5 linked regions of the Mus musculus genome follow. The protein of the gene in region 4 interacts with the protein of the main gene of each other region in a pairwise test. Links are inferred from orthologs where the notes say so. Each region holds a gene or a part of one and is shown on either strand. Other genes may lie near its edges.

Region 1 (4,007 bases), on a different chromosome or scaffold from region 4:
GAGAGCCTGGGGCTAAAGAGCAAGCTATAAACTCAAAGAAATGAGCTGAGAGTGGTGGTCCAAACCCGGTAGACTAAGGCAGGAAAATTAGGCCAGTTCAAGGCCAGCCTGGGCTACATAATGGGTTTGAAGCTATTCTAGGCTACACAGGGAGACTCTGTCTAGAAACAAAGTAGCAGTGGAGATAGTGGGGTGGGGGTGGGGTATGGTTGGGGGTGGGAGTAGGAAACAACTCAGCAATAGCACAGGACAGTTCACAGCTCTCTGTAACTCCAGTCCCAGGAGGCCCATCCCCTCCTCTGGACTCTGGTGCACAGACAATCATGTAGCCACACAGACATGTAATTTTTTTTTTTAATCTCAAAGAAGTCATGAATGAATTAAAAGAAAAAGAGAAAGTAGTGTGGTAGTGAACACTTTTAATCCCAGCGCTCAGGAGGTGGACAAAGGAGAGTTAGAAAGTCAAAGAGTAGCCCGGCGTGGTGGCCCATGCCTTTAATCCCAGCACTTGGGAGGCAGAGGCAAGCGGATTTCTGAGTTTGAGGCCAGCCTGGTCTACAAAGTGAGTTCCAGGACAGCCAGGGCTATACAGAGAAACCCTGTCTCGAAAAAAAAAAAAACCAAAACAAAAACAAAACAAAAAAGAAAGTCAAAGAGTTTGAGGTCAGCCTGGGCTGCGTGAAACAGAGACACAGAGATAGGGGAACCGAGAATGAGTTAGCAGGAAGGTCGTGGGTATATTATATGAGTACCTAGTGTGCATGTGTCTCACGATTCCATCTCCAATATCACATGTAACTAGGTAACTTAGGTAGTTCTTTCAGATATGTACCCTGCTGGCTTTCTGTTCAAACCTTCTGCTTCTCCCCCTTACAAACTGAATTATGCCCACTATGCCCATTGCCCCTACTCCCTCTGATGCCAGAATCTACCTGTGGGGTTTTATCTCTGTGGAATGTTCTCTTCCTCTAGCCTAATCCTTGACCTGATGCCATCAGCTCCCCAGAGAAAGTCCACCCAGATGTCTTAGTCTTTTGTGATCACCATCTCCCCCAACGCACGCACTCATGAACGCACGCACACACATGCTCTGTAAGTTAGATCAGATATAATTGCCTTGGCCAAGATGGATAGGTCTGCCTCCCTGGGACAGATACCTTCATCCTGGCCTTGACTCGAGACTCCACATTGTCATACTTGGGTGAGCGCCACAGTGCCTTCAGTGGCTTAGGCTGACCCTGTTCCCGGCTGCGTTCCTGGTCTTGGAAGCGCCTCTGAATCTCTTTGATCCGCCTCAAGTTTTCCTTCTCATGGTCCTTTGGATTCTTCCCTGGAAGGGTGCAGGGAGGAATATTGCTAGGGACAGCCCTACCAAATGGCCATGCACCTCGGACTAGATCGAATATAGATTCACACCCTACCCTTGGCAGAAAGACCTCTCAGACAATCTGGGAGATGTCTGGTAGAAGAGAGGCCCTGGGTTCACACACACATACACACACATTTTTAAATACAACCAAGGCCTCTTCATGGAAGTTAGACATCATACCCACAGCACAGTTATCAGCTTATTCCCTTCCACAGTCACCCTCCTGGTTATCTTCTACATTTTATGATTTAGCATACCATTAATCACCGTGTATATTATACACATGGCCTGTCTTGTTCATTGCCTCCAACTGTGACTCCCATACTCCCCCCGCCAATTTTTTTTAAATTCACACATCCCAATTGTAGCCCCTCTACTCCCAGTCCTGCCTGTGCCAAATCCCCCCCCCCCCATTACCCCTTTCTCTTCTCCTCAGAGAAGGGGAAGCCTCCCTTGGATACTACCCTACCCTGGGACGACTCCCATACTTTTTAACCCCGTTTTCCTAACAGCTACAGGGTTTGGCACAAAGTAGGCACTAAGTAAACAATGCTCCATCAAGGTGTGAAAGCTTGAAGCGAGGGCTTTCTGCAGAAGGATAGACTCTGATCCTGCCAGGAGGTATTGTATTTTGCCCTTCTTTTATGCTAGAGAAACTAAGACCCAGAAAAGAACATTAACTGCATGGGCTCAAGGCAATTAAGAAGCACCCTATTTTAATCTCTGCTTTTGACCTAAGAATGCCTCAATACCCCGTCTGCAAGGACTTACTCTTAGGAGAGACCCCCGAACCGAGGGAGATGCACCCCAGTTGCAGCAGCACGTCCCCCACGCCTCGCTGGCCACGCTCTAGGATCTCTCGGGCTTCAGGCCTGATGCGAGGGCCACGAGGAGGACTGGAGTCCAGGTCCCGACCTGAAGTCAGCAGGTCCAGCTTCAACGCGTTTCCTTCCAGGCGTCCTTGGGCTGAGGAGCAAGACGCGGTGGAAAGCCGTGCTCAGGGGTGGGGCGGGGTACTCGCCCCGCCGAGGCACCCCGCAACTCACCCGAGGCCGGCCGCCGGTAGTAGTCCGGGCAGAGAGTGGGGTCTGGGGGGATGGGTCCAGAGATGCGGGACGGGCCCTCGCACATGATCCTACCGCAGCCCTGCAACAGTGCACCAGGGCCTGTTGCGCTGCGCAACTTTCCCCTCTAATCCCTGTCGGGTGCTTCCACCCTCCACCCGAGCCCTGCATCCCCGCGGTAGCCCCCATCACCGAGCCCCACCCCTCGACGACCGCCCGTCTCTAGGCGCAGACTGTACCACCGCCCCGCGACTAGCCCACTGCCCAGAGGGGTTCGCCGCCCCTCCCCCGCCAAGCCCCAGCGAGGGCTCTCACTGGAGCAGTTTTACCGCCAACTGTTGCAAGCCGGTAGGAGTTGCTGTTGCTTGGCAACAAATGGCTTCCTGAGGTCAGGGGTCAAATGACTAAGGCGAACAGCCTTCTGGGGTTTGTAGTTCCAGATGAGGAGTGATTCTAAGTCTCGGGTCTCAACAGGAGCCTTACCTCTCAACCTGTCTCCCCTACCAGCACTGAGTACCAGTCCAGCCCCGCTCTGGGCCTGAGGTTTTCTCTGATCAACTGTCGAGGGATGCACTGATTCCTCATAGCCTATGGCCTCAGAAGGGGCCAAGAGGCAGCCAGAAACCCAGAATGGGGCAGCAGTAGGGTTAGCCCAGGTTGCAGAGAGCCTTGAGGTGACTTGGGCATTTCAAAGCTCGGGAGATGGAGGGGTAGGGCAGGAGAGGTGGGACTCTAGGTAACCCAACCCTCTAACTGCCAGGCCAAGCCCTACAAGTAGAGAGGCCTAAGCTGGTTACCTTCATATTTTGTGGCCAATATGTAGTTAGGAGACACCACCACCCCCCCAACCAAGGGAGATGTACTCCAATTGCAGCAGCTTTGGGCTTTGAATAACTGATCCCCACAATACTTTGCCTGGCCATCGGCTCCCAATGACCTATGTGTATCTTCTAGTGTCCAGGAACAGAAGAGTGTCTGGTGCCGGCACATGAGACCTGCAGGAGCCCAGGCGAAGACAAGTGTCCCGTGGGGCACAGCTTAGAGCCAGAGCTCCAGGAGGAAGGAATAAAGGTGGGAGAGGAAGGGCTCAATGCAGGGGTGGAAGCAGGAGAGGAGAGAGGACCCAAGCCTACGTCATCCATCGTGAGACCAGCTCATGGGCCCAAGAGAAAGTGAGAGGGCTTTCGGAGGGAAGGGCTGGGAAGGTGGGTCTTATGCCCGGAGATTCCTAAATCCCCATTCCTTCAAGGCAGAGATTCTTGTCTTTGACCAATACCCCTCACTCCCAACTCTAGAACTTGGGGGCTGGGGGGTTGGTATGGATTTGGGACTTCTAGATCTTGCAAGGAGACTGAGCTACCATAAATGCTGAGCCTCTACTGGGCTTGGAGCTTCACTGTCTAAGAAATGGACAGCTAACTAGCTCTAGTGGACAGGCAGGGGTAAGCCCTAGGCTCAAGATATAGGAACCAAAGACTGAAGCCTGCCTCTTTCAGGCCTCTTGTCCCAGGTTTGGGTTCCCCAGCCCTCCCAGGGCCAAGCACCATGTCCATCCTAGGTCAGAAGTTGAGCTG
Region 2 (3,927 bases), on a different chromosome or scaffold from region 4:
AAAGTCAGTTTTTTAAAGGGTTGCAGCAGATTAGACTTGGTGCCTTTTAAAAAAACAAAAACAGGAGGAAGAGAGGGTGGGTGTAGGAGGAGTTAAGGGGAGAGAGTGCGGTAAATACGACTAAAATACACTGTGTTTATGTATTAAATTCTCAATGAATGAATAAAAGTATTATCTTTTAAGTGTAAAGGAATTAGTTGCTGTTTGTTATTGTAAATAGGCTATGTTTATTTAAATAGTATGGTTATGTATTTAATATCTATCTATGCTGTACAGAGAGTTTTGAAGTATGCTTAAAACATGACACTTCCTTAGCATTCTCCCATTGTTCTTAAATGTCGTTTAATCTAATCGTTGTAAGTTAATGCATGGTATTCCCAGCTGGAAAGCGGCGTTGAAGGTAGGTACCTCAGAGCTGGGTCATGAGTCCTGACAAGAATTATGTAGAAAGCTCGATTCAGCTTCTTTCCCAGGATCGACGTCTATAATTGATCTGGTTTTGATAAGCACAGTGGGAGCTACGGGTGTGCCCGTTTGAGGATTGACTTGCCATTTCAGGTTAGGGGAACAGAGAGGGAGAGAGGATTGTGGGTAAACACACAGAGAGGTAGCTGCTGAGTTGGAAGTAGGGCCTAGTTTGGGGGGTGGTCACTTAGTACCAACTCATGGGGAGACTTAAGTCAGGCAGCAAGTGTGAGGACTACTTGGGCAAAACGCATGAATTCCGAGTCAGCCTGGGCAACTTGGTGAGACCCTGCCTCCAAAGAAAAAAGTGAAGGGAGAGAAAGCTAGGTATGGCATAGACCTATAATCCTAGTACTAAGGAGGTTGTGGCCAGCCTGGGCTAGGCTAGTTATGTGTGAAGGCCCTGCCTCAAAACCCCAAAAATATTGGTACTAGTGCCTGTGCAAAACCAAGCAAACAAATTTGGGACTAGTAACTCTTGCAGCTGGAGACCGAGGAAGTCCAGCTGGAAGAGAAGAAAGGTCTGCCAAGGCCTGGGCAGCCGGAAGGCCAAGCGGCCAGCTGGGCTCCGGGCAGCAGTCGCCCTGCTGCATCTGCGGCTCCTGATGTTGCCTGGCAACCCGGGTGGCGCGCCGTTCGAACGGAAGCGACGGGCCAATCAGGAAGTCCGGGGCGAACCATTGCAGCAACGGGGACGGCGGGCTCACTTCCCTTTCCTCTGGGGCCCCAGGGACGTTCTCCCGGAGGGAATCGTGGGACAGCCAGGGCGTCCCACTCGGAAGAGCTCGCCGGTCTTCACACGTAGTAGCCTTCTCAGGTCTGCAGGGACCACCAGCTGTCAGCCTCGGCAGCCGGCGAGGAGCGGGATTCCTCTGGACGTGGGCTGCAGGTGAGCATGGGGGTAGGAGGCGGAGGGTCCCGGGGCAGTGCCCACGCATTAACCCGGGCAAGAGTCTCAGTACAGGGGGTCGACAGAGGAGAGTTCGTGTCTAGTGTCCAGCCCAGGGGGCCAGCAAAGGATCCAGGCTGTTTCCCTTTCCCACTCTGCAGTTCCCGCTCCTGGCCGATCAGAGGAACCCCGCGGGTTACTCTTTAAGGGGCTTATTGGGAAGACGTGGCTCAGGGGATCCCAGGGCTAGGCTACCCGTGCCCTACCGGCCCTTGGAGTTCCCCTTCAGGACATATACCATTCCCTCCCCATTCGCAACTTTTCTGCCTTACAGGGTTCTACAGAGTCCCAGTTCCCAGTGCTGCCCTCTCAGAGGGCCTCCCTGGGTTGAGTCCCTAGGACTGCAGGGCAGGGTTGAGTCCCTAGGACTGCGGATCCAAAGGCCTTGGAAGTCATGTGGATGTGTGTGTGTGTGTGTGTGTGTGTGTGTGGTACCTCTAAGCCAGAGTTGCTGGAACTGGACTTGAGAGTTGGGTGCAGGGTCAGACCCTCCCAAGTAGAGCATCTAATTTAGGCTGGACTCTTACCTACCCCCCTGTTGTTGATCTCGTTTCGTAGGTGGGGAATCTGAGGTTCTGTGAAGTTGAGGCTGTTGCTCAAAGGCACAGACTTAACTATGCAGAAGTCTTCAGTCCTTGACACAGGGAATCACCGACTCGATGGAGGATCTCTTATGAAGGGAACTACTCTTCCTCTGAGCCTCATTCTGGCTCTGGGGGAGCTGTGCTTGTCCATCTGTCTTTGTGTCATGCTCCCTACTCCAACTCTTGTATGGCCCAAGCTGGCCTCAATCTTACTATGTATGACCAGGCTGGTCTTGAACTCTCCGTCTTCCTAAATCTGCCTCCTCGGATGACAAGCATGTGCCACTGGCACACCAGTTCTGTGCCATTTTCGGGATAGAACCCAGGGCTTGGTTTGTGCTAAGAGAGCAATCTACTAGATGAGTTACACCACTGCCTCATTTCTTTCCACGTCGTCTAGCTTCCTGTAGCCTGATCTCTCCCCGAGTGTCCTGTTTTTCTCAGTAGCGTCTGTTCCATATTATGCGTGAGGTGTCTTATTAAGCAGTTTATTATCTTCCCCAGTGGAATGTGTCGGGCAAATGAGATGCTTAGCACAGGCACAAAAATGTCAGGGTGGCCGAAACTTGCAGAATCAAGATGATCAAAGCCAACATCTGTTGGCCATTTGCTGTGTATTGTGCTGGGGGTGGAGCAGGATAGGGTGGTGTCACTCAGGTGGACTCTGGCCAGCAGAGCCAGCATAGGCATTGTTATGAGCACACACACACACACTCTCTCCTCCAGCTACCTCACTTTAGGCAAAATGACAGGTGCCTCCGTGCTTCAGTGATTTGCAGCAAGCAAGAACTGGACAGACGCAGAATGGCCCTCAGTAAGGACTGATGGGAAATAATCCGAAACTCCTTAGATACTTTTGTGGCACCAAGAGGAACATAGATGACTAGCAAAGGGTCTGGGTGAGAATTACACACATAGCATGATGCGCTTTGCAATCCTGAACCCTGACTGTGGGCCAACTAATTGAGAAGACACAGACATAGTGATTACATCTACAGAAAGTTATGAGGTCACTGCCCTGCCTGGGGTTTGTCATTGGCTGTGTGAGTTTGGGCAAGTTTCTTCACATTTCTGAGCTGGGGTAAAACACTGCATGTGGAGTTCAGGCCTAGGCAGGACAGGAAGTGGGTGTGGCCACAGGCCTAATTCAAGCCTCACCTTCCTATCCTGGGTCAGGCAGGCCCTTCCCTAAGGCCTTGCTTGTTAGTCTTTCTGTCTCTCCTCTCTCCTTCTCTTCCTCCTTCACTGCAAGTCTGCCTTTGTTCCCATTTTTGTCAGGGTGCAAACTGAGTCCCCAGAGTTTGAGTTAAGTGGAGAGTGTGTGCTGGAGTGGTTCACGCAGGAGTTCACTGTCCTAGGCATCCTGGCCCCTCCCATGGCAGCCCACTCCTAACTCCTTGAGGTTTGTACAGAGCTACTCTGAGCAAGGCTGACTCCAGGGCAAGCCAGGGCATGAGCCTAGTGAAAACTCCAGAAATAGCTTGGAACCTGGCCTGCCCTGGAGAATGCCCAGCAGGGCGTCCAACCTGGACAGCTGGGCTGCCTCTTCCCCACTGCCTGGAGCCTTCTTGATCCTCTCCTGCAGCAGCCAAAGGCCTCCCTGTCTATGGAGCCTGATCCGGCTTTCCTTTGAAAGGACAGAGAAGCAGGTGGGAGGTACAGAATCGCATAAAATGATCAACCCTAGAAATCCCACCTTATACTGGGAAGAGAGGACACACGGCTGCCTGGGCTTAGAATGCTTGCCCCGTGCTGAGAACTTTAGCAGTGTGAGCTGTGATTTCGGTCCACTCTATGAAGTGAGGGGATTGCTGCTTTTAATGCATGGATGCGTATCCTGCAGCAGGCTTGTGAGAGGACACTTAAAGGAGTCAGTTCTCTCCTTCTACTGTGGCACTGAACTTGGATCCTCAGGGGACTGAACTCGGA
Region 3 (3,609 bases), on a different chromosome or scaffold from region 4:
TCCTCTTCAGCCGATTTCTTTTTGTCCCTGGGCCTTGGGGAGCTTTCCCTTATTTGATCTGTTTTATTGGAGGCACTATGCCCCTGCCTCAGATTGCACCCCTCGGCTCAGATCTGAGCACTTGACGTGACCGTTTCCCGCTTCTTAAAGTGAGGTCCCCAGTGCCACTTGTGAAGCGTGTCTCTTAAGGCCACTGTGCCCAAACTTCCCTGACTTCGCGGCTTTCCCGCCTACAGCCCCCACTCTCCTCTGCTCTCCTGACCTGCCTCTGTGCTCACCTGGCCTGAGCCGAAGCGCTGCGGGGACTTCCTGGTGGCCTCTCACCTGAAGTCACCCTACCCAAAATTTCCAGGTCACCGACACCGACCCAAAGGCTCGTCTCACTTCCAGGTCACCCAGACAGCCCCAAGGGACAGACCTAGCTCAGAGTTTCAGAGTCCGGTTCTCTTAACTCATTTCTAATTCTACTCTCAACCCATGGCCAATAACTGAAGAAGACCGAGTGTCACAGGGCAACTTTATTGAGTGGTAGCATGGTCACACCCAGCAAACGTGTTCCCTCTCATTCACTCTCTCTCTCTCTCTCACACACACACACACAGAGTTTCCCTCTCTCTCACACACACAGCCCTTGCCACAGTCCAGTTCTCAGCCACAGGGTGGGGAGCCTCCTGGATTATTCGGATCCAGAAGCAACAGGTGCCCGAGGGAGGCTCAGGGGGAGGAAGTGGGGAGGGGGTGCAGAGAGCAGGGGTGGGATGGGTTGGGAACACCCACCAGACAGCTACACGAAGAGTGAGATTCCCTGCCCTGGTGGCTTCAGCTTGGCTGCGCCCCCTTCAAAGGAGCCTTCCAAGGTGTGGCTGAACATTCAGGGTTTGGGAAGGGCAGAGTCCCACTCCGTTTTAGTCCTCTCTGCAGGCTGGGGACTGGAGGGCAAGGCGAGCCGGGGTGGTTGTCGGCTGCTTCAGCTCTGGGGCTCCTCCGGAGCCTCACCACCCTCTTCCCCAGCACTGTCGGCTGTCCACAGCGTCAGGTTGTCTCTCAGGAGCTGCATGATGAGGGTGCTGTCCTTGTAGGAGTCCTCACTGAGGGTGTGCAGGTCGGCCATGGCCTCGTCGAAGGTGGTCTTGGCCAGCGAGATGGCCTCCTCGGGGCTGTTGGCTATCTCGTAGTGGAAGACTGAAAAGTTCAGGGCCAGGCCCAGGCGGATGGGGTTGGTAGGCGGCATCTCCTTCTTGCTGATGTCCATGGCCTCCTGGTAGGCTGACCGGGCAGAATCGATGATGCGCTTCTTGTCATCGCCAGTGGCCACCTCGGCTAGGTAGCGGTAGTAGTCACCCTTCATCTTCAGGTAGAAGACGCGGCTCTCTGCATCTCCAGCCCCTTTGATGAGGTGCGAGTCCAGCAGGCCGAGTACGGTGTCGCACACACCTCTGAGCTCGGTCTCTACCTTCTCCCGGTACTCTTTCACCTCGGGGCCCTTCTCTTCTGACCCCTCCTCGTTGCTCTTCTGCTCGATGCTGGACAGGACCCTCCAGGCCGCTCTCTGGCCGCCCACCACGTTCTTGTAAGCTACGGAAAGCAGGTTTCGCTCCTCGCAGGAGAGCTCCTCGCCCTTTTCCACGGCGCTCTTCATGAAAGCTGCCATGTCTTCATACCGTTCGGCCTGTTCAGCCAACTTGGCCTTCTGGATCAGACTGGCTCTCTCCATGACTGCGAGGATGGACAGACAGACGGGCGAACTGGCTGTCTCGAGAGTAACGCTGGGTTCTGCGGCTCCCTTGCTCTGGCTCTGCCTTTTGGCTGGGGTGGCATGGCCCTGAGAAGAGTTGGGCGTGGTCTGAGCGGGCCTGGGCCCTGCCTCCTCCTAGTCTTCGCCACACCCTTTCCGGCTCTACCTTTAAGGTAAAAGGGCTGGGACGGGAGGGGGCTGTGAGTCACCAGGACAGTCAGCAGGAGAAACCTGGCCGCAGGTCCCACCTGCAAAGGCACCTTTCGGCTCCAGACTGCCCCCTGCAGTTCAGGGCTGGCTGCATTGCAGGAGCGTCTTGGATTACCAAATCAGATTGTCTTTCAGGGTGATCTTCCAGGCTTCAGCCACCGAGCTGCTTTAGCCCAGGCAGAGCCCAGGGAGCTGGGACAGTTCAGGTGAGAACTCATGTATAGGTAGGGCTGTACAGTTTCCCCCAAACTTGCGCATCCATGATCTGATGCAACTACCCCCAACCCCCGAATTGGCTCTGTAGGACTGTAGAGGTAGAACTATCAAGTCTCAGGGGTGAACCAAACCAGTTTGAGGTCACAAGCTGCCAGCTCCCTTAAACCCCTCCCCCTCCGTGTCCCCTCTTCCTCTTGGCTCTCTTTGGGGGCCATTAGCTGAGCCGGCCTGAAGATAGCTCCATCCCTTGGTCCTTGTTCTCCCTCAAGATGCCCTATGAACACCCCAGATGCGCAGGTGGCATCTCAGGGTGCCACTTAATGAAGTGTTTAACGAGCGGCCTCTGACGCTCCAGCCCAGCCTTTGTAATTAGTCACCCAATATGTTTGTTGGACACCTTCCCCCTTACAGCACAATTTTCCCTTTCAAGTTGGTGGCCTGTTGACACTTGTCTGAGACTTTACTCTCTGGTTCTCCACATCGGGTCACCCGTCCCTTCCAAGCTGCCTGTCGTCATGTATCGGCAGGGTTCCCAGAGGGTGGGGGCCTAACTCTTTGACTGTCCCACTCCCCTGCCTGACTCAGATTACCTCTGTCAGAGGCTGGGAAGCAGGCCACCTGGGTGCTCAGTCCAGTTTGGTCCCCCAGGGGGGACGCTATCAACCTGGGGAGGAAGACAGGGCTGAGGGAAAGGAGCTGGGAATGGCACATTCCATTTTGTTTTATGGCGCAGTGTGTGATTCCAGCCCAGTATGATCCCTCACTTGGCTCCCAGAGGTTCTCAAGTCCCTTCAAGACTCTGCCTCTGACCCCTGAGAGAAGTCTCCTTGGAGATGGAGATCACTTTGTTCCCAATCTTCCATCCCTGATTGGTTGGGCCCTATTTTCAAGGCCCATGATAAGAATGGGCACTGAGGGTGTGTTCCTGCTTATGTGCCCCACCACATTCTTCAAGTTTAGATGGGACTCCGTGGTTCCTTCTAAAGAAGTTTCTTCCTAGGACCCAGCCAGTCTAACCCTTGAAGCAGGACTATTGCACAACCTTGCCTGTCTCCTCACAGTGTCTGAGCACTCGCCTTGCCTCCGGGAGAGGTGTTGTAGGCCAGAACCCTGAACAGGCTGGAATGTGCTTGGGCCACGGAGTAGGGGCTCTTGAGAGACTTCAGGGTCCTGGCTAATTTTACAGGTTCTCCCAGGAAGCAGATGGGATTTCTGTCCTGAGATCTTGCGTGCTTTGCCTAACTCATGGCACAGGCACAGAACTACAGTAAAACATCAAGTTAGGGAAGACCACGGTAGTGTACGGCTAGAGTCTGAGCATTTAAACTCACACAGGGGACATGCCAGTTGGTGACTGGCTTTGCCACAAGGGAAACATGTTACCCCCACCCTGGGGAAAAGCAGAGGCTGGGAGTGTGTCTTGGTTGGTAGAGTCCCTGCTAGTGTGT
Region 4 (5,026 bases):
CACTTGCTTGTGTCAAAGTAAATGGGTAGACAAAATGAAGTTATATATTCCAGATCAAGTAAAATTTAATGATTTTACACTTCTCTTCTCCAGGAATGTTTAGTAGAAAATTGAACTATCATACTTACAGTACAGTCACTGTACAGTTACTCCCCTCAAACTCCTGATTTTGTATTTTAATTGTGCATTTTAGGTAGAATGTATTTTCACTTTAAGTATCCCTTGATAAGTAAATGGCTTTTACATCAAATTAGGGCTTATTCGTACTAGAAGTTTCCAAAATGATTCTGTTTAACATTTTAAAATTCCTATGCCTCACTTTATTTCCATTCTCATATTTACTTATTACGATTTTCTTTCATTATTGTACAATTTTTATTTTGAAAACCTTTTTTCAAAAGTTCTTTGCTTATAAATTATACAATAACCAGATTTTTAAGATATTAAAAACAAACAACTCTATGTTTAAGTTCAGGAATTGTCTCTGTCAAGAAAAATGAGATGGTAACTTCATGTGAGGCACTGTTTCATTATTATAACACCAGGAAGCTGTTAATGGTATTGTAGGAATTTTCGAAGTCATGTTTTGTAAATCCATTAAAAAAAGAGTCAGATCCACACTTAGCAGTCATTTTTATTAGATGCTAATCACTGACATCAGTGCAGGGGCAGATTATCCACACAATTCACATACAGCCCACACACTTGGACTTTAACACTGGGCTTTCAGTTCTGCATTTATTTCAATACTTCAAACATATATATTATGGTGTATATTTATTTCCAGTTTTTTTCAAATACATCTTTGTATACATATACGCATATATATCATTCTTAAATATATATTTCCAAATATAAATAATTTCACATCAAGCCAAACAGGATAAAAACATGTAAACATATGCACCTCATTTTGGTCAAGTAAAACAGAACCACAAAGTAACCACAAGTTAACAAGTGCACTTGAAAGAGAAGGGAAGAAACAAACATGTAAACAAACACAGACAGCAGCTGCAAGGTCCTGTAAGGGTCCATTTTTTTTAAGGCTATATAGCAAAAAGCTCATAATTCAGTTAAAGACTTTTGTCACCTTGTCACATTTACTCTTAAGGGACTTCACAATGAGAAACTGTAAACACTAGACTAGAAGTGATTGAATCCTGTTGGAAAAAAGACATCACAAGTCATCAGTTGACAGAAATATTAATTCCACCAAACAATACTTATAAGATTTCTTGTTATTTTGTAACACAGAGAAACATCACAATCCTAGCAAGAAGAAATAGGAAATAGAGAAGAAAACAGCAATACTGCATAAAGATTGCCTCAGTAGCCTTTGAAAGCGATAGGGTTTTTCAGTCAATAAAGGGGAATAAGCAACAGCAGACAACAGAGCTTTAGCAGACCAGACCACATGCCACAGCGTGATACTACAGATTCAAACTGAAATATTCTTCCAGCTGGTACTGAAGCAAGAGCCAACGGTCATCAGAGAAGGAAGAACTGCCTCTCAGGCAAAGCAACTTCTTAAGCAACTGATTGGCCAGGCGAAGCACAGAATGCTCTTTTTTACGGCTTTTAAACAGCACGTTTCCCTCTCGCAACTGCACAGGCTCCAAAACTTGATGCCAGTATGCGCTTGATGATCCACCACCATCTGGTCTTGGAGGCTGATCTCTCCAGCCCTCGGGGTATTCATGCTTGTAAAAACAGAATTCTCCAAATGGGCAGTGACCTAGGCCTCCAGCAAAATACCTGCACGCTTTCTGGCTCATCCCCTCCTTATACTGCTGAACAAGTTTCTCCTTCTCCTCTTCCTCCTCCACCCAAAACTCACTAGGAATGACAAAGCCAGAGGAGACCCTGCACTGTGGGCAGGACTTACTGATCCTGTTCTCAAACTGTGTGGCACTTCTCCACCTGCGGATACACCTAAGACAGTAGGTGTGGTTGCAGCTGAAAAGAATGCCAAAGCGGCGGTCGCTGGGGTCAGCTTTCTCATAGACCACCTCCATGCAGATGCCACACACTTTGTCCATGCTGCGCTGCACAGCAAAAGAGAGTTCCATATCTCTCTCGTGTGCTTCAACGCAGGCCCTTCTATGAGCTTCCTGCTGAGCTGCATCCCAAGGGTGCAAGGCCTGCTGCCCGCACATGTCGCATATTTCTCCATGGGGGTATGCACACCTGTCCCCACGGAGGCATTGTCCCCGGGCAGCATAGCGGCAAAGCGGCAGCGGCATTGGCACTGGCATTGGCACTGGCATTGGCATTGGCACTGGCATCGGCATCCCCATGCCCATAGCCATATGCTCTCTCTCAATTGCCGGGCTCTGCAGAGGAGCCTCGGGACCATGCGGGGGGACCATGCGACCTCGGTAAGGCTGTCCAGGAACAAATTCAATTGCCCCCTCCCAGCCTTCTGCACCCGCTCCCGCTGCAGCACCTGCTGCAAGGCTTGCATTGTCAATCTCGGCTTCAGAGAAGCCCCTTTCAGCAGCTGAGCGAATGCCTGCATTGTCAATCTCAGCTTCAGTGAAGCCCCTTTCAGCAGCCGAGCCAATCAGAGGCAAGGAGCTTGAGGATGCAGCAGGGGGGGCTTCCGCCACTTCCTGAGTCGGGGGCTCCCAGCGAGTGGCCATCTTGGGTCCTCTGTCTGCAGAGGCCCGAGGCTGAGCATCTTGCCCCCCCCTAGATCTCCGCCGCCCAGAAAGGTCGTGAGAGTAGCGACAGTTATCGCCCTCCTTGCACTGCCCATGCAGATAATACCTGCAGAGGATTTGCTTCGTCCAGCTGCCACTGTTGCGCTCCGGACCAGACCGGGCCCCGCCCCCTTCGGCTGGCGCTGGCCTCAAACTCGCCGCGCGCCGGATCGCTGGGCCTGGAGTCACCAGGAGCGGTGCCAGACCCGATGCCTGCTGCAGAGGGGCCGAGCTGACTCCCGCAGAAGCTCCAGCAGCCTCAAACTGAGGAGGGGGGGGAACAGACACACCCTCCCCCCCTTCAGCACCTGCCTCGGCGCCGGCGGCCGCGTGGGCCTCAATGGGAGCTGTAGACTCTTCCATCTTACAGCGTGCCTCTAACACTGTCCAAAAACCCGAATATTATATCTTTTTTGTGCTTGAATTGCGGAGCTGGAGATGGCTCGACCAGCTTCTTCTCGGAGCGAAGTGCATCGATTTTTGTCTTCCCACCTGCTCCCCGTTCCCTGGAAACTTTAGTTCCTACCTGTTTACAGGCAGGCGGACACTTCCGGTTGTAACACCATTCCTAGGGCTTCACCGGAAGTTGCTTCCGCCATGTTTTTCGCGTGCCTGTTTCTGCTTGAGACACTGGGATGGGCTTCTGCCGGCTTTCTAAGTGCGACTCTGAACCCCCCAATCCCCGTTTCCACAGTGTTTCCCCTCAAGGTTGATGTTTTAAACTCTCCAGGTTTCAGTTGTATACATTGCAGTTTATTTGTGTGTGTGTGTTAAGAAAACGCTACACACATTGCCTTTACCGTCTGCTGCTTGAACATAAAACATTTCACTCACATTAAAAATTATTTTTCAGTTTCTTCTGTCGTTTGTTTATAGGCTACTAATTTTTAAGATCGGACAGTGTCCCTGCCAAAGCGTTTCTCCTTCAATGCTTGTAGATCTGACAGGATTCTTTGGGTCTTTTTTTCCCTTGAAGGGTTAATTTGCGTGCACTTTAATTAGGAGGGAATCCCCTGCCCCGAGGCTACTCAGAGCCTTTCACTTTCCTGCCTTTGTTACATTCTCCCGGACCCCCAACAATGTAGAAGCCTGGACTTTGCCCAACCCTGATGAAGACTTAATAAGGCAAGGTCTGAGAATGACCCAGGCTTTAACTTTTCTCTGTTGGTTGGATTCGGAGACCCTTTGTTCCCTGCCTTCCTTTTCATCCCATTCTGCTCTACAGAGCTTTTCATAATACCAGCTCCTCTTTGCACCCCAAAGTGTCTCATTTCCATTTCTGCACTGAGCCAGTTCTTTTTCTTTTTCTTTTCATTTTGCAGATATATACTATTGGGCTAATAATTTTATATGTAGTTCTACACTGCTACATGTACTTACTACAGTGGCATACTAAATTTTATAGTATAGTTTTACGTGGGTTTTTATTTTTAGTAATAATCATGCTTTCTTCCTTTCCTCACCCACTAACTTGAATTAGCAATGCTTCAAATATTTTATTTACTATTTAAAAAAATGAAATTATGCTCAGAAAAATAATTTTATTGGAAGGAGTCTCACAACCTAAGGTTAAAAAACTCTGAAAGCATATGATATAATCATCCAACTCAAAATATAAGTCTCAACTAAATAAATCCAACAACGATAAAACAAGATAAGAGGAACATAATCAAACAATATAGATAAGGGGGGATGAAGTCAAAGTAAACATGAAATAAGAACAATAGAATAGGCAAAATTTTTCTTGTGTAACTTATGAAGGAAAATAATAAAAGGCTCAGATCTCCAGCATCACATACTTCAAAAGAACTGACATTAAGTAATAAGAAACCTCAAAACAATGAGATGTTTTTAGTGCCACTAATTTATAAAAGACCTAAGTAAGAACTAGCAGATGAGAGTGGGGAAAAGATTTGAATATGAAACTTGAAACTTTCATTAAATGGTCATAAATAGATAGATAGATAGATAGATAGATAGATAGATAGATTAGTAAAAATATCAGAAACAAAAATAAAGATCTATTAGGTATGTTCTACATATGCTTAAGAAAATTTTGATATGAGGTATTTTAAAATGTGGACTCTGAAATGAACATAAAGGTTGAAAAGCTTATATTGTTTTAAAGTGCCCACTTGTACAATAGAGGGAAAAAAGCAAAAGAAAAGAAAAGGAATAAGACTTGTTAGAAGCAGAAAGTAATTAGTTCATTAACAGGCAAAAATGCTATTTGTATATAGAAAACTCATCTGCTTTGTATGCATATTTATCAAGTTTGATGTCCAAAAATTCAATAAGAAAAGAACAATTTGTGTCTCATGTAT
Region 5 (4,148 bases), on a different chromosome or scaffold from region 4:
GCAGAGACAGACACATGAACCTGAGCAGAGGTAACTAACAGCGTGGCACGGCTTAGGCTAGTTTAAACAGGATGACTGAGTTATAAGCTCGTGGGAACAAGCCAAAGCTATTGGCGTAGGCGTTTATTCATAGATAAAAAAAATCTCAGAATTGTTATTTCAGGGAACAAAGAGGCCAGGTGGGAAAGCGTGAGGTTACAATGACCTCCAACTTCTTCAGGGTCCTAACACAGACTGAAAGCCAGATGTTCTGCAGAAACCCTCCCAGACTCCAGCACCAGGCAGGAAGCGCAGAGATATCTGAGCCTCATGGGCTCAACAACTGCGGGATTTCTGGTCTGTCTGCTGTGGGACAGCCACTGCTGGCCAACCTGGACTACATCCTCAAAGGGCCAACAAAACGTGGTTATACACCCCAGCTGGCACTAACAGGTTACCAAATGAGGTTCAGATCATTGTTACGTGCTGAATCTCAACTCAACACGGCTCACATTTCAAAGGCTTGCTCTGGTCCAGGCCGGTGATCCACCTTTAATCCCAGCACGTGGGAGGCAGAGGCAGGCAGATCTCTGGGACTCTGAGGCCAGGCTAGTCTATAAACAAAGTTCCAGGCAAACCAGGACTACACAGTGAGACCGTTTCAAAACAGCAAAAGCAACATTGAAAACAACTGCTCCCTAGCTTCCAGCACTGTTCAGGGGAGGCAGGGGGCGTTTAAGGGGATGAGGTACTAGCTGGCGGCAACAGTCCACTGTGGTGGGTCTCTGAACCCTCTTCCTAACATCCTGTTTCCTGAGCCAGCGCAACTTGAGCTCCATTGGTCACAGGCTCCATGCCTTCCTCATTACAATCGCTGGAGACCCTCAGAAACCACGAGCTAAAAATAAGCCTTTCCTCTCTGGGGGGTGGGGGTGGGGGGTTGGAGGCGGTTTTCCCCATGGGCTCTAGTCACCTGACCATCTCGTCGGAACAGGCACCCGAGAACAACCCCGTAGGCGCACTCGTCCGTTCCGGCGGGGATGCTACCGCCCTGCAACCTGCTTCCGGACTAGGGTAGTTACCAGCTTCCTCTGTTCTTCTCGGGCTGACTTCAGGTCCTGGTGCTGCTCGCGGAGCCTTTGCTCCCGCAGGCCCATGCTCAGCCTGAGCTCATCCAGCTCCGCAGCCAGCAAGTCCTGTTCCTCCAGGAGAAGCTCTCTGAGCCTCTCCCGCCGGAGCTCCAGAATCTTCCTCTTCTCCTCCTTCATCTTCTCACAATGGTAGGCGTGCATGCTAGGTTAAGGAGTTCCCTGGACATCAGTCACACCAGGTCACAGTTTGATGTACATTTCTATGTAATTCTTGGGGGGGGGGGCTAAACACCTACCGAGAAGACACTAGCGCTGCCTTCTGGTTTATCTTTTAAAATGTACAGTACTGCCGGGCATGGTGGCGTACGCCTTTAATCCCAGCACTTGGGAGGCAGAGCCAGGTGGATTTCTGAGTTCGAGGCCAGCCTGGTCTACAGAGTGAGTTCCAGGACAGCCAGGGCTACACAGAGAAACCCTGTCTCGAAAAATCAAAAAAACAAACAAAAACAAAAACAAAAAACAAAAAACAAAATGTACAGTACTTCTCCCCAGCACAGCACAGTTTCCAGCATCATCAGGAGATAATTCAAGCCACAGTCCCTAAGCCCCTAGGCTACATTCCCCGAACCGTGGTAGGAACCAGTGGGCAGGACAACACACAGACACTTGCCTCCGCTGGTAGGAGATCTTGGAGCTCCATTCGATCTGTTTCGAGTTGTGGATGTCCCAGGTCCTGAAATAGCGACTGTTCTGTTCCCACTGCTGGCGAAACTGGTCCTCCTGCTGATGCTGGCGCTGGCGAAGATCCATGTGTTTCCGGCTGGACCAATAAGAGGGCAACGTGGGGAGAGCCATCTGAAGGAAACAGCAGTGGGCAGAAAGTAAGCCAGTTGTAAAGCCAGGGACCGCCCCCCTCCCACTCGGATGCCTCCTCTCTCTATTGATGTCACTCGCCCCTTGGCTGCACCTTTCTCACAGTTTTAAAGCCCCACTCCCACTCGGATGCCTCCTCTCTCTATTGATGTCACTCGCCCCTTGGCTGCACCTTTCTCACAGCTTTAAGGCCCACGTTCCCACCCTAGGACAACCGAATGATCAAATTTTGTGAAGGAGGCCCATGCCAGAAAGTTTTAAAAGATTTGCCACCAAGGCTGCAAATTATCAATTTAAATAAACGTGCACTGTGTCCAGTAGTGGCCAGCCATTATCAGGGAGATTGCAGACATAGAAAATGTCCTGACATGCCTGGGATAGGAAATAGAGGTTTTTTACATTCTGCATAAAAACTACAGTGACAAGCAGGTCCCAGGGGCATGCCCCAGCGGTCCCGCGTACTTTGGAAGCCGAGGCGTGAAGAGATCACTTGAGTCCAGGAGTTCAAAGCCAACCTGAGCAAACCAGAAAGCCCCCTGTCTCAAAAAGCAAGCAGAAATAACCTGCGACAATGATGTGAAGATGACGGGTATGTGCCAAGCGCTAGGCATACAACTTTTTACAGGTCCCGCGGCTACAAGGATGCCACGTCCCCGCCCCTCGGCCCAGCCTAACCTCTGACTCATGCACTCCGTGTCCGAAGTTCGCGGAGAAGGGTCGCCGGCCTTAGCTCGATCACGCGCCCGCTCGCTCCGAGGGTCCCCAGGCGCCCACTGCACAGACGCCAGCCGTTTCCTCGCCGGTTGCCGGGCAGCCCGCGGGACAACGGAGCACGGCGATGGACAAACTTCCTCCCGCGCGACACCCGCCGCTCTCCAGGAAAAAGGAATGGTGGGTGGTTTTTTTCTCTGGCGCCACCTGGCGGTGGGAGGTAAATCGACAGTACTTGTTAGTCCTTGATGTAGGGTAAGGAAAAGAAACCTTAGTGACCCAGTCAGGATGATGGGTGGGGGTGGGGGGGTGGGGGTGGGGTTACCGGAGGAAGGTGGAGGAGTGAGGGTAGGTTTAATGAGAATCATCCCCTGGCCAGAGTGAGGAAATAAATGATTTGCAAAGATCCGCGGGTGTGTCCCGTAGGCAACGGAGGCCGAGAACCCGAGAACCGCTGGCCTCTGTAATGACCTCCGTCATTGGTACACTACTGTAGCCTTAAGATTGGTGGTGAGGGGCTGGTGAGATGGCTCAGTAGGTAAGAGCACCCGACTGCTCTTCTGACGGTGGCTTTGTGAAGGTCTGGAGTTCAAATCCCAGCAACCACATGGTGGCTCACAACCATCAGTAATGAGATCTGACTCCATCTTCTGGAGTGTCTGAAGACAGCTACACTTACATATAATAAATAAATAAATCTTTAAAAAAAATTGGTAGTGGGTACAAAGTTTTTTGTTTTTTTGTTTGGTTTGGTTTGGTTTTTCGAGACAGGGTTTCTCTGTATAGCCCTGGCTGTCCTGGAACTCACTTTGTAGACCAGGCTGGCCTCAAACTCAGAAATCTACCTGCCTCTGCCTCCTGAGTGCTGGGATTAAAGGTGTGTGCCACCATGCCCGGCTTGGGTACAAAGGTTTTAATAACTGTAACTCGCATGGTTGCTTACGTCCATGCATTAACTACCTAATACCAGTAAAAAGAGAAAGACATAAAAAGGGATTGGGCATATGTAGCATGCTCAAAGCTCTGAGTTCAAGCCCTAAAATAATGTACAATATTAAAATAGTATTTTACTTTACTAAATAATACTAAAATAGTGCCCTCCACGAGAATGTAAAGATATAGATAAATATTCGATCATTCCTTTTTGTTTTGTTTTGTTTTGTTCCTTTTGAGGCAGGGTATCTCTGTGTATCCCTGGCTGTCCTGGAACTCACTCTGTAGACCAGGCTGGCCTCAAACTCAGAAATCCGCCTGCCTCTGCCTCCCAAGTGCTGGGATTAAAGGCATGCGCCACCACTGCCCAGCTTCGATCATTCTTTTTTCTTCTATTTTCCCACCCACTTCCTTCTGCCTCTGCTTCCCAAGTTTTTCTGCTCTCTCACTCCTCCATTCTGTTGTTCCTCGTGGTGCCTGCCTGATGTTTCTGTTTCACCTGGAGCTGGCTGTACAGTGTTGTTGGCTCTCCACAGCCAATAACCAGGTTCAAACCTGCAG

What was found.
Region 1: the proteins of Mkrn3 (region 4) and Enkd1 interact in binary tests that used the Homo sapiens proteins (3 or more experiments, as listed by UniProt). The two-hybrid records come from large-scale screens. The link is inferred for Mus musculus from reciprocal best matches to the Homo sapiens genes MKRN3 and ENKD1.
Region 2: the proteins of Mkrn3 (region 4) and Fam110a interact in binary tests that used the Homo sapiens proteins (3 or more experiments, as listed by UniProt). The two-hybrid records come from large-scale screens. The link is inferred for Mus musculus from reciprocal best matches to the Homo sapiens genes MKRN3 and FAM110A.
Region 3: the proteins of Mkrn3 (region 4) and Sfn interact in binary tests that used the Homo sapiens proteins (3 or more experiments, as listed by UniProt). The two-hybrid records come from large-scale screens. The link is inferred for Mus musculus from reciprocal best matches to the Homo sapiens genes MKRN3 and SFN.
Region 5: the proteins of Mkrn3 (region 4) and Tchp interact in binary tests that used the Homo sapiens proteins (3 or more experiments, as listed by UniProt). The two-hybrid records come from large-scale screens. The link is inferred for Mus musculus from reciprocal best matches to the Homo sapiens genes MKRN3 and TCHP.

Annotation. Positions count from the first base shown.
Region 1 is NC_000074.6:105,705,409-105,709,415, forward strand, and holds the start of Enkd1 (enkurin domain-containing protein 1), read right to left. Parts: upstream 2,801-4,007; 5' UTR 2,749-2,800; exon of another isoform or gene 2,516-2,748; 5' UTR 2,501-2,515; coding exon 2,416-2,500; intron 2,336-2,415; coding exon 2,141-2,335; intron 1,331-2,140; coding exon 1,158-1,330; intron 1-1,157. Other genes in the region: 4933405L10Rik (uncharacterized protein C16orf86 homolog), read left to right, coding at 3,024-3,107, 3,388-3,605, 3,992-4,007. UniProt on the Homo sapiens protein: Microtubule-binding protein which regulates microtubule organization and stability. Promotes the stability of astral microtubules and facilitates the proper orientation of the mitotic spindle.
Region 2 is NC_000068.7:151,977,420-151,981,346, reverse strand, and holds the start of Fam110a (protein FAM110A), read left to right. Parts: upstream 1-1,127; 5' UTR 1,128-1,354; intron 1,355-3,927.
Region 3 is NC_000070.6:133,600,056-133,603,664, forward strand, and holds Sfn (14-3-3 protein sigma), read right to left. Parts: upstream 2,114-3,609; 5' UTR 1,715-2,113; coding exon 968-1,714; 3' UTR 501-967; downstream 1-500. UniProt on the Homo sapiens protein: Adapter protein implicated in the regulation of a large spectrum of both general and specialized signaling pathways. Binds to a large number of partners, usually by recognition of a phosphoserine or phosphothreonine motif.
Region 4 is NC_000073.6:62,416,977-62,422,002, forward strand, and holds Mkrn3 (probable E3 ubiquitin-protein ligase makorin-3), read right to left. Parts: upstream 3,178-5,026; 5' UTR 3,066-3,177; coding exon 1,431-3,065; 3' UTR 617-1,430; downstream 1-616. UniProt on the Homo sapiens protein: E3 ubiquitin ligase catalyzing the covalent attachment of ubiquitin moieties onto substrate proteins.
Region 5 is NC_000071.6:114,706,431-114,710,578, reverse strand, and holds the start of Tchp (trichoplein keratin filament-binding protein), read right to left. Parts: upstream 2,801-4,148; 5' UTR 2,619-2,800; intron 1,926-2,618; coding exon 1,741-1,925; intron 1,546-1,740; exon of another isoform or gene 1,367-1,545; intron 1,273-1,366; coding exon 1,062-1,272; intron 1,030-1,061; exon of another isoform or gene 953-1,029; intron 1-952. UniProt on the Homo sapiens protein: Tumor suppressor which has the ability to inhibit cell growth and be pro-apoptotic during cell stress. Inhibits cell growth in bladder and prostate cancer cells by a down-regulation of HSPB1 by inhibiting its phosphorylation.